Saccharomyces cerevisiae S288C: one gene and its partners. Each later gene encodes a partner of the first gene's protein in a complex. Each region holds a gene or a part of one and is shown in the gene's direction. Other genes may lie near its edges.

The links.
Region 2: IMG2 (region 1) and MRPL6 share a complex: the UniProt entries of both Saccharomyces cerevisiae proteins name them as parts of the mitochondrial large ribosomal subunit.
Region 3: IMG2 (region 1) and MNP1 share a complex: the UniProt entries of both Saccharomyces cerevisiae proteins name them as parts of the mitochondrial large ribosomal subunit.
Region 4: IMG2 (region 1) and MRPL22 share a complex: the UniProt entries of both Saccharomyces cerevisiae proteins name them as parts of the mitochondrial large ribosomal subunit.

What each region holds. Positions count from the first base shown.
Region 1 is NC_001135.5:239,556-242,352, reverse strand, and holds IMG2 (mitochondrial 54S ribosomal protein mL49 IMG2), read left to right. Parts: upstream 1-1,809; coding exon 1,810-2,250; downstream 2,251-2,797. Other genes in the region: RSA4 (Rsa4p), read left to right, coding at 1-1,548; peptidylprolyl isomerase family protein CPR4, read right to left, coding at 2,342-2,797. UniProt on the Saccharomyces cerevisiae protein: Component of the mitochondrial ribosome (mitoribosome), a dedicated translation machinery responsible for the synthesis of mitochondrial genome-encoded proteins, including at least some of the essential transmembrane subunits of the mitochondrial respiratory chain.
Region 2 is NC_001140.6:392,139-394,881, reverse strand, and holds MRPL6 (mitochondrial 54S ribosomal protein uL6m MRPL6), read left to right. Parts: upstream 1-1,598; coding exon 1,599-2,243; downstream 2,244-2,743. Other genes in the region: SKG6 (Skg6p), read left to right, coding at 1-427; snoRNA-binding rRNA-processing protein IMP3, read right to left, coding at 797-1,348. UniProt on the Saccharomyces cerevisiae protein: Component of the mitochondrial ribosome (mitoribosome), a dedicated translation machinery responsible for the synthesis of mitochondrial genome-encoded proteins, including at least some of the essential transmembrane subunits of the mitochondrial respiratory chain.
Region 3 is NC_001139.9:373,229-376,193, forward strand, and holds MNP1 (mitochondrial 54S ribosomal protein bL12m MNP1), read left to right. Parts: upstream 1-1,858; coding exon 1,859-2,443; downstream 2,444-2,965. Other genes in the region: DNA-binding transcription factor AFT1, read left to right, coding at 1-856; DNA-directed RNA polymerase II core subunit RPB9, read right to left, coding at 1,231-1,599; NPY1 (NAD(+) diphosphatase), read left to right, coding at 2,873-2,965. UniProt on the Saccharomyces cerevisiae protein: Component of the mitochondrial ribosome (mitoribosome), a dedicated translation machinery responsible for the synthesis of mitochondrial genome-encoded proteins, including at least some of the essential transmembrane subunits of the mitochondrial respiratory chain.
Region 4 is NC_001146.8:303,179-306,606, reverse strand, and holds MRPL22 (mitochondrial 54S ribosomal protein uL22m MRPL22), read left to right. Parts: upstream 1-1,991; coding exon 1,992-2,921; downstream 2,922-3,428. Other genes in the region: TDA7 (Tda7p), read left to right, coding at 1-1,537; 40S ribosomal protein uS3 RPS3, read right to left, coding at 3,205-3,428. UniProt on the Saccharomyces cerevisiae protein: Component of the mitochondrial ribosome (mitoribosome), a dedicated translation machinery responsible for the synthesis of mitochondrial genome-encoded proteins, including at least some of the essential transmembrane subunits of the mitochondrial respiratory chain.

The sequences.
Region 1 (2,797 bases):
ATGTCCACCCTGATTCCTCCACCTTCTAAGAAACAAAAGAAAGAGGCTCAACTTCCCAGAGAAGTAGCTATTATTCCGAAAGATTTACCCAATGTTTCAATCAAGTTCCAAGCTTTAGATACTGGTGACAATGTAGGTGGCGCCCTGAGAGTTCCCGGTGCTATCTCCGAGAAACAGTTAGAAGAACTTTTAAATCAATTGAACGGTACTTCAGACGATCCAGTGCCATATACCTTCAGCTGTACAATTCAAGGTAAGAAGGCCAGTGACCCTGTGAAGACGATTGATATAACAGATAACCTATATTCTTCATTAATAAAACCAGGCTATAACAGTACAGAAGATCAGATCACGCTACTGTATACGCCAAGAGCAGTTTTCAAAGTCAAGCCGGTAACTAGAAGTTCATCAGCCATTGCAGGTCACGGTTCCACAATTTTGTGTTCTGCCTTCGCACCACATACGAGTTCTAGGATGGTAACCGGTGCAGGTGATAATACTGCAAGGATTTGGGACTGTGACACCCAAACGCCAATGCATACTCTAAAGGGTCACTACAATTGGGTTCTCTGCGTTTCCTGGTCCCCCGATGGAGAAGTAATTGCTACGGGATCCATGGACAATACCATAAGATTATGGGACCCAAAAAGCGGTCAGTGTCTAGGTGATGCTCTCAGAGGTCATTCCAAGTGGATCACTTCTTTAAGTTGGGAACCTATACATCTTGTGAAGCCGGGCTCCAAACCAAGATTAGCTTCATCTTCTAAGGATGGTACTATTAAGATTTGGGACACTGTGAGCAGAGTTTGCCAGTATACGATGAGTGGTCACACAAATTCAGTGTCTTGTGTCAAATGGGGCGGCCAAGGTCTATTGTATAGTGGCTCTCACGATAGAACCGTACGTGTATGGGACATCAATTCGCAGGGCAGATGTATCAACATTTTGAAGTCGCATGCGCACTGGGTTAATCACTTATCTTTATCTACAGATTACGCATTGCGCATTGGTGCATTCGATCATACAGGTAAGAAGCCTTCTACACCAGAAGAAGCCCAGAAAAAGGCATTGGAAAATTATGAAAAAATCTGTAAAAAGAATGGAAATTCAGAAGAAATGATGGTTACTGCAAGCGATGATTATACCATGTTTTTATGGAACCCACTAAAATCTACCAAGCCTATAGCAAGAATGACCGGTCACCAAAAATTAGTCAATCATGTGGCGTTCAGCCCTGATGGTAGGTATATTGTCTCAGCGTCTTTTGATAACTCTATCAAACTTTGGGACGGTAGAGATGGTAAGTTTATCTCCACATTTAGAGGGCATGTAGCCAGCGTATACCAGGTTGCGTGGTCATCGGACTGCCGACTACTGGTGTCATGTTCCAAAGATACCACGTTGAAAGTGTGGGATGTAAGAACTAGAAAACTTTCTGTTGACCTCCCTGGTCATAAAGACGAAGTTTATACCGTCGACTGGAGTGTCGACGGTAAAAGAGTGTGTAGTGGTGGGAAAGACAAGATGGTAAGATTGTGGACGCATTGAGTTATGTGCAAAGACAAGTAACATACATGCACATATAAATATTATATAACTGTGATATAGAACTGCATTTTTTTCTTTTTGAATATTAAATATGATGGTGTCGCAAGGTCGATCTATAATGGTCATCGCGTACGAATGGCTTGGTATGAATTTAAAATATGGTACTATAAGCAGTATAGCTCCAGCAAGAAGGAAAACCTTTTGAAAGAAGTGCCCGTTTACCTAAAGCAACTTACTCCAAGGTAGCGTGTGAGCAAAACTATGATCAGTTCGTGTGTTACTAGATGTTTTGGTAGGGGTAAATGCCTTCCAGGGCCTGCCACTGCCTCGATATACCAAACGATAAGATGTATATCCACTAATTCAAATAAAGCTGCTGAGGCGCCAATATTTCCAAAGCTGGAAGACGTGAAGATGCATGAGCTCATAGGAAACAACAATTTTGGTAAAAAGACCTACTACGTGGAGAGAAGCAGGACCGGAAATCTACCGGTGTATTCCGCTTATAAAAATGGAGGTAACAAGATTATCACGGAGATCAGAAAGATTGAAGGAGATGTAATTCAACTAAGAAATGACTTGCAGGAGCAACTGCCTTTCATACCCAAAAAATCATGGTCTGTGGTGATGCAATCGAAAAAAATTATTATCAAGGGCAATGCAGTAGAGGCTGTCAAAAGGGTATTAACCAAGAAATTTTAGGTATCGCTAATGTATAAAAAAATAATTGTCATGTATATATATTAATTAAAATCATAGCCATGTGGTCATCAAGCCATCGAAAAGAAGTTGCTTACTTGTGTCTTAATGAAACCGTATGAGGCTTTTCGTGCATGCCCTTGTAGGCAATGAAACAAAGGCCAAGAACAGTTAAACACATCAAGGCTCTGGAAATTGGGTGGTTTAAATCATAGGCGGTGGTTCCAGTGGAGGTGGTTAAAGGTGTGTAGGCTTTATCGTTACGGAAGATGTTTTCCAAAGTGGAGCCAACAGACACATCGCCATTTCTAAACTTCTCGACTTTTTCTGTGTACGCAGCGTGCAAATCTAAGATGTTACTAATTTTTAAGATTTCTAGAACGAAATACAGGAACCGTAATTCATGCTGAGGCTTTCCATATTCGTCTGTTTCTGTGTATTGAATAGCATCCATTAGTTGATCTAGACCAGAAGTTATTTGACCAAACACGACACTTTTGCCATCCAATTCCTCATTTCCATCGGCTTTAGTGGTGATGATGAATTCCGA
Region 2 (2,743 bases), on another chromosome or scaffold:
TGCGTTAAATCCGGTCGATCATCCGGAAATGTTTTATTCACCGACAAACGATGCCTATTATGCTCCACAGCAGCAAGGCCAATATATGAAGTTTAACGAAAATGGGGCGGTTCCTTCACCTTATCAACTTAGACAAAGTGTGGTAATGACCAATCCTTCGGATTTGACGGCAAAACCATCTTATAAGCCAGCAGGTTCTTTCAGAAGTGTAAGCGCAACCAATTCAAGAAATAACAGTCTGACCACACAAAATAATATCTATCTGCAACAGCAGCAGCAGCAACTGTATAATTCTCGTGTTAGTGGGATATTAGAAGAGACAGATGTTGTACAGCCACCAAGTGTTGGTGGAATTTTGCCACATAGTGGTTCACAGGACGATTTAAGAAAACAATTAGGCTCTTCACATAATTATACCGTCAACTGAAGTGTAGATAATGAACGGACAATTATCGGATATATAAATTGATGTTTTATTGGAGAAATTTTACAAATTGCGTATTTATACAAATTAATTTATGTTAAATAGGATTTTTTCGAAGTGTATTTTTAAGTTTTAAGGCATATTTAACAAATGACGCCGATGAGAAATTGTTTTGCGGTTTTTCTTATTTTTGCATACGACGAAGAAGTTCCTTTGTGTATATAACAATTTTTCATGCTTCCAGCTTTTAAGAAAGCTCAGGCGCCTCACATCATTTGTATTTGCTGCCTCGTTGCCTATTCGTAATAATTTCACAATGTAGGAAGATGATAAATCGAGTATTGATACAGAAAACGTAAGTTTGTAGTCAATTTATGAAAAATCAAAATCGTCGATTTGGTTTCTGTATCTCAACAAGGTTTTCTTGATCTTAGAGTTGTCCACCCAAGTAACGTAGTCCTCCATATTTCTCGTTACGAGGTAGGCTGGATCGTTGATCAAATTTGGACCCACGCGAACATGCCCTTGTTCAATGAACTTGACTGCATCTTGTATAGTTTCCGCCATTTTTAATCTATGCATTATTACAGGTAATCGCCTCCTACAGATGGCACTAACAGTAACTTTATTTTCCAGATCAGAAATCTTTGATTTAGTTGTCAGGACACCCATAGCGTATAGCTTGTCCAGTAATAATTGCTCATGTTTGCGACGAAATGGATCAGTGGGAGGTAATAATGATAATTTATTGGCAAGACGACGAATATCACCGCATATCCTATTGTATTTATGATAATCTTCACGATTCTGAATATGATATGTTCTCATGACCTGAGTGTCCCGGTGGCCTTGGTCCTGCTTCCATTCAAGGAAGTCTACTTTTTTCAATAACTTTTGCTCATGATGCTTTAGTTTTCTAACCATTATTGGTTGTGATTATGCCTGGTGGTTTATCTATTTAGAACGTTCTATATTACTTATCCCATTGAATTTTTGTTGCGATGAGCTTATATCAGTGAAATTTTTTTCACTGGAAGTAGAGGGTAATGAAAGGCGAGCGGAAATAGCGAGGAGACGCTACGGTTATAGAGGAAGAATATCAAATACTAGTAAGTAAGGGAAGATCACGCAATAAAGCTATCGCAAATCTTACTATAGGAATTGAGGCCAACCTATGTCATTTATTCAGAGGAGGTTATTGTCGCAAACACTTTTTCTGCGCTCTCAAGTGGGGTCTTTACCACTTTATATATCTCCTGAAGTTCAGGTTTCCATAAATGCATTATCCATGCCCAGGATTATCAGAAAAGGTAGAACTTCAATGAATATATCACAGAATATCACAGTAAAGGGACCCAAGGGTGAATTGTCCGTGGAGGTCCCTGATTTTTTGCACTTGGACAAGGATGAAAAGCACGGTAAAATAAATGTTACAGTTCAGAATTCAGAAGATAAACATCAACGTTCGATGTGGGGTACAGTAAGATCACTTATAAATAATCACATTATAGGTGTTACTGAGGGGCATCTTGCTGTCCTTAGATTTGTAGGGACAGGTTATAGAGCTCAATTAGAAAATGATGGTAAATTTGTCAACGTTAAGGTGGGTGCATCTATCAAACAAGGATTGGACGTTCCTGAAGGTATTGTTGTCAAAACACCTGCTCCCACGTCTCTGATTATTGAAGGGTGCAATAAGCAGCAGGTCCTTCTTTTTGCTGCCAAATTGAGAAAATTCCATCCACCAGAGCCGTATAAAGGCAAAGGAATATACGTTAACGATGAAACAATAAAGCTAAAGGACAAGAAAATCAAATAACTTCAGGATTTCAGTTATTTTCGTACTCATTTTCGTAATTTTTTTTATGACATGTATCTTTTCTTATACTTTATAGGGAATACCTTGTAAATATCCTATGAAAATAACTTAAATGAAATTTATATTGGTTATTAATGCGGTGACGTGTTCTTGCTTGGTAAACATTTTGGTGTTCAATGAAACTCTTGGCTTGCAACCTTTAATATATACTAGTTTCACGGAATATGAACGCAATAAGTAAGGCCACAGAAGTTCGAACCTTACCTTTCATTTTATACAGTTTCGAAAAGGGAACACCATTTAGACTAGAAACCAAATATCCTCTTTAACGTTCTGCTAATGCTATATATTTTTTGATTCCAACGCTAATAAAGATTTTTTTTCTTGAGTACTTTTCATGTTTTGTTGTAGAGAGCCCATTTAAAACAAAGATGTTTACCAGAAAACAAAAGAAAAGATCAAATAAGTGAGTAAATGAAATGCTGTACCTTCCAATTTCT
Region 3 (2,965 bases), on another chromosome or scaffold:
GAATGAAATCTTGCCACTGCCGGCATCCGATTTCAAGCTAAACACTGTAACAAATTTGAACGAAATTGACTTTACGAACATTTTTACCAAATCGCCGCATCCACATAGCGGGTCTACCCATCCAAGACAAGTCTTCGACCAATTGGACGATTGTTCCTCTATACTCTTCTCTCCATTAACTACAAACACGAATAATGAATTTGAAGGAGAGTCAGATGATTTTGTTCATTCTCCATATTTGAACTCAGAGGCAGATTTCAGCCAAATTCTTAGTAGTGCTCCCCCAGTCCATCATGACCCAAATGAAACACATCAGGAAAACCAGGATATTATTGATAGATTTGCTAATAGTTCCCAAGAACATAATGAGTATATTCTACAATATTTGACGCACTCCGATGCTGCTAACCACAATAACATCGGCGTTCCAAACAACAATTCACATTCGCTAAATACTCAGCATAACGTTTCTGATCTGGGCAACTCACTTTTAAGACAAGAAGCTTTAGTTGGCAGCTCTTCAACAAAAATCTTCGACGAATTGAAATTTGTACAAAATGGCCCACACGGTTCTCAACATCCTATAGATTTTCAACATGTTGACCATCGTCATCTCAGCTCTAATGAACCTCAAGTACGATCACATCAATATGGTCCGCAACAGCAGCCACCGCAGCAATTGCAATATCACCAAAATCAGCCCCACGACGGCCATAACCACGAACAGCACCAAACAGTACAAAAGGATATGCAAACGCATGAATCGCTAGAAATAATGGGAAACACATTATTGGAAGAGTTCAAAGACATTAAAATGGTGAACGGCGAGTTGAAGTATGTGAAGCCAGAAGATTAGCATATAGATGAAATCAAACTTAGACGTATCTCTCGTCCATTTTCATTACATTTTCATCTTTCTTCATTAATTATATACTGAACATATACGCATCTATACAATTTTGACTTTTTAAAGAAGAAAAAGAAAACAATAGTATACATTCTTTTTTCTACTTTTGTTACAGATAAAAAATCGTTCTTATTATATTACATATATCGGTGCTAAGATCAGGATTTTTTCATGTTCCTTCCCCCTGTTATTTCACATCATCCTTTTGCCGGTAGATTAGGCTGGTGTAAATAGTAGTGCTTTTCTCATACATACAAGACATACGTGAAGATAAGTCCCATTTTCTCTCCCTCTGTCATTAATTTTGAAAGTTCGTTGAGCACTCATGAAAACTGCGTCCTTTTGTTTTTTTGATCTGAAGTAAATATGTGTGAGCAAGATAAGCACACAAAGAATAAAACCATCGAAGTATCCTTTCTTCTTTGTTGTGATTGAAAAAACACATTTTCCCGAGAGTGACATTTGGGACATTCTCTATCAGATCTCGGAAGAGTGGGATCGGAACCAATATCTTGCACCACTCCCGCAGTTTCACCAATGTTGGTAATCAATTCATGCCTGTAGACCAATGGACTGCCCGCTTCTTCTACATACGAGCATGTTCTGCATTCAAATAACAACCGGTTATTTTCTTTATCCTCACGAGGGTACAACATATTGTTGCAGTCACGACAAAATCTAAACGTAGTCATAGCAGTTTTAAGGGGAGTTTAACTTGCTCTTTTGGCTAGATTTTGTAACTTTCGTTCTACCTAGAATCTGCTCTTGTTCCATTTGACTTACTCTTTAACGCTATTCACCAAAACAAAATTTTTCAACTTACCCGCCCTATGTCTTGAAGTCCAATAAAACAACTCAAACTAATGGCAAACAAGAACTCGGTAAGTTCTGGAAGGAACAGGACAAGCAGCCCGTCAGCAGCAAACACAGTCAATTAAATAAGCGCCCAGTATGTCCTTACGTATACTAGCGAAGAGATCTTCTTCTATCTGGATGAAAACGCGCGTTACACCAGCGCTAATTTCTCCTATTACTATCACAACCCGTTTCAATTCTACGACTACAACAGCACCATCACATAAGGATGATGTAAGGCCAGTTGATCCTAAAATTTCTAAAATTGTACAGGACATTTCACAATTGACTCTTTTGGAAACTTCCAGTTTAATCAACGAGCTGAAAACCGTATTGAACATTCCAGAAATTTCCATGCCTATGGGCGGATTCATGGCAGGCGCTGCAGGCGCAGGTGCTGGTAATGTACCTAGCTCCACTGGTGAAGCTGGTAGTGGTGCTGAAGAAGAAGCTAAGCCTGAGGCAAAGACCGTGTTTACGGTGAAGTTGGACTCGTTCGACACGAAGACTAAGGCTAAAGTCATCAAGGAAGTCAAGGGATTATTGGGGCTTTCATTAGTTGAAGCTAAGAAATTCGTTGAAGCTGCACCAAAGGTCTTGAAAGAAAATGTCGCCAAGGATGATGCTGAAAAGATTAAGAAAACCTTGGAAGACTTAGGAGCTAAGGTCAGTTTAGAATGATTTTAAAACTGTAGCAATCTACCAATCGTGTTAATCAAAATAGTCTGTTTTCTCTTCGAGAAAATAAGGAATATATCATGTAAATATGTTTAACTCTTTATTCTTCTTTCGTCCTGCCTTTTATATATTTTGCCACATCGCTTCTTGCAAGTAGATGTATAAAAATGATTGATTTCCTTATTATTTTCTATAGTATCTTCAACTTCATTATGGCATTCGTTTTCGTGTTATAAGTATTTCAGACGGGCTAATCTATCACTTCATAAATCTACTTTTCCAACTTACAAAAGCGGTTGCTTTTCTTCGAAATATAAAGCCCACCAACCATAAGAATAAAGAACAAGAGCAGGAGCGAAACGAAAGAGAAGATAAAGATTGTACCTTTTTGCTCCTGATTTTTTTTTGATTACGCTACGGTTAGTTGAGAGAATGTCCACTGCTGTGACTTTTTTTGGCCAGCATGTCTTGAACAGAGTTTCGTTCTTAAGATGTTCGAAAGAGTTCATCAAAAAATCATTGAAC
Region 4 (3,428 bases), on another chromosome or scaffold:
ATCGACGTCACCAATGTCATCATCGTCGTCAATAACGTCGGAATGGTCATCGTTAACATCAACAACACCAACGTTATCGTCATCAGCTACATCGCTGTCATCATCATGGTCGTCGTTATCATCACCATCTTCGTTACTGGTATCGTCCTCGTTGTCATTATCACTATCTTCATCATATTCAGACACTAAATTGTTTTCGTTCGACAGCAGATCTTCTATTTTCTCACCATCAACACCCACCGTAATATCCCCTAGTTACACATACTTGTCTTCCATATCTGCAACTTCATTTCAAATTAGTACCACTTCAGAACTCTCTTCTAGTTGGTTCTCAACAATTTCTTCTCCTTCTACGATATCAAATAAAGATACCACATTCCCAAGTTCCAGTCGGAATACTTCCACATCGTTTTACAGTTCATCGCTTTCATCGACGAACGATTTTTCAACCATAAGCAAATCATCGAAACTCAGTCCATCAGCTTCATCTTCGACAGTTTCCATAAGCACGATTTCCGTGCCAACGTCAAGTTCTGTTAGCTCATCCAGCAGTAAAGTACCTTCAAACCGTCCTTCATCATCATCATCATCAGATGATACAACAAGTGCTTACTCAAGCACGTATACTTTTCAGTCCTTACAATCTACTACTAGCAGCAGTATACCACCCACCACTCAAACACCCAGCACTAGTACGATTTCTACGTCTCCCATACCAACATCCAGTCAGGTCTTCAATACGGTAGCCATTTCAAGCTCCGAAGATTCAAAAACTATTTATTATTTCTATACCCAAACATATGATATTACTGACTCCTCTACAACGTTCGTGACGGGATTACCTACGACCATAGCAGTTGCAAAAAGTGAGGTAACCTCATTTTCCGCTCCATCTTCGACGATCACAGCTGACATGTCTTTCTATCAGCACTGGCTTGATGGCAGTTTGGATAATAACAAAAACCAAGGCACTTCAAAGACAAATACTGGTACCATTGTTGGAAGTGTGGTAGGAAGCGTCGGTGGTATTCTTATATGTGTACTAGTAGTTTGGTTCATGCTGGTTAGAAAAAGGAAGGCAAAGAGGCATTTCAAGGAAAACGATTCCTTCTGTCACGAGATTGGGCGCAGAACGGGATTCCCAACAACTGCCCAAGCAAAAGAGGCGTCACTTCAAGCTCAAGACTCGGGATCACAGCAACGAAACACCGAGACTGCTTCTGCTAATAATCCGTTCAGCAACGAATTCAATTTTAAGGCAAGAGGAAATCCTCCTCCAGTGCCACCACCAAGGAATGTTACCGCAATGAATGGCTCCTTTCAAAATATGCGGAGTAATTTCATGGACCAGGAAAACAGATTTTCCTATGGCTCTTCATTTACATATTCGTCATTGGGTTCATCTACTCAAGGTGGCTTTTCTACTTTATCTTCAAATTCGATACGACTCGGACGTGGTTTAGATAATGACATCTCTCATGATGAGAGAAATACAGTTCAGAACAATTCACAAGGGTTCTTGAGGGAAATTATATGACGATGACTTCAGTCTATTAGTATGATGTTTACTAATTAAGCAAAATCAGCTCTTGCTGAATAACACTACTATTAAAAATCATAAAAACATCTTTATTGCCAATAGTGAAGAACGACAAGGCCTTTTAAAAGGCATAAAAAACAATGATACCATTCTGCAATGAAAAAAAAAGAAAACTTTGTTCTTTGTGTATAAAGAAAATATTTTAGTTCTCCTAAATAAATAAATACTAAATTATACGAAACTCTTTCAGTCTTTTCTCCTGCTTGCTGCTTGAACAGTACTCATGATATTCTATTAATCTTCTGTGGGCGGGGTAACTAAGCCTTCACTGTACTCGGGATTTTGAATAAAAGTCAACTATCCAATCTGGAAGGCATTTTAACATACGCCATTAGGAGCCGCATAGCAAGTCAGAGAACCTCACCTCACCCTATCTTTTTTATTAAAGAAAATGAACTTCCACACGGCAAGAATATCTCAGGTCGGTGTCATTTCTAGGGCTCTACTTTCTTCTGTAAGTAGACGTTGGATTCATGTAACGCCAATAAGTCTTAATAATTCAGGAGGATCACTATTCGGAAGCATTACAGAAAATAAACCAAAGGAAGGAAAAAACAGGGGGGATGAAGATGCAGGCAGCTTCTCTAATAGGTTAGCGATTGCTTCTGATTCTTCTGGAGAGGCTCCTGAAGTTAATAGGGATTCAATAACCATAGAAAACGATAAACTACTACAGCAACATATCATATCGTTGCAGCAACCGGAACAATTAGCATCACAGAGCTTATTATCTCCTTTGAAAAGGGAAATATATGAAGCTAATTGTAAAATTAATGGTGGGTTTTACAAGAAAGATACTATTGTAAAGTTACCAAATTCTAGCGAACGTTACAAGCTAAAGTTAACAAAAAGAGAAATTGAAGTACTAGAACCTTCCGTATATGCTCAGTCATATAGAATTAAATCGTCGATGAAAAAGGCTACACTTTTGTTGAGGTTATTGGGAGGCCTCGACGTTATGAAAGCTATATCTCAGTGTCACTTTTCTAATAAGAAAATTGCTCGCGAAGTAGCAGAACTACTTCAAAAAGGTGTAAAAGATGGCCAAAAATTAGGTTTGAAACCAGAGGACTTATATATCTCTCAGATTTGGACAGGGAGTGACGGGTTTTGGAGAAAACGTGTTGAATTCAAGGCAAGGACAAGAATCGGAATCATAAGTCATCCTTACATACATGTCAGATGTATTCTGAGAACAAAGAGTGTTACGAAACGAAGACTTGCTTATGAAGCACATTTAAAAGAGCAAAAAAGAGCGCCATGGGTACAGTTGGGAGATAAGCCCATTAGGGGTGTTACAGGCGGCGTATACAAGTGGTGAAAACGATAGCGAACTCATTCATATCCGAGAAATCGTCCTGTAAGCTGAGAAAGATGAACTGCTACTCACTTCTTAACCTATATTCACAGTTGTGTTGTACAAAACTTTTCTTTTGATTATATAATATTGTGATTCTGTAAATAACAACTAGTTTCAACGCACTGCTTCAACGTGCACCCTCCTGACTAAACACGGCAATATGCAAGAAACCGCAACAATTAAGTGCACTAGAATAGAAGAAATTATTGTACTTATAGTTTATTTATGTATTTAATAATTAAATCTAAGCTTCAACTGGTTCAGCTTGAGCTTCAGTTTCTTCAGCTGGTCTGTAGTCCTTGACAGATGGAGCAAGAATTGGTTCTTCTTCTTTTGGTTCAATGATGGTGACAGCATCTGGCAAAGCCTTTGGACCAGTTCTGCTCTTAGCTGGGTCTCTCATAATCTTAACCTTGATACCCAAAACACCTTGTCTCATCAAGACGTGTCTAGTAGCAGTGTCAATGA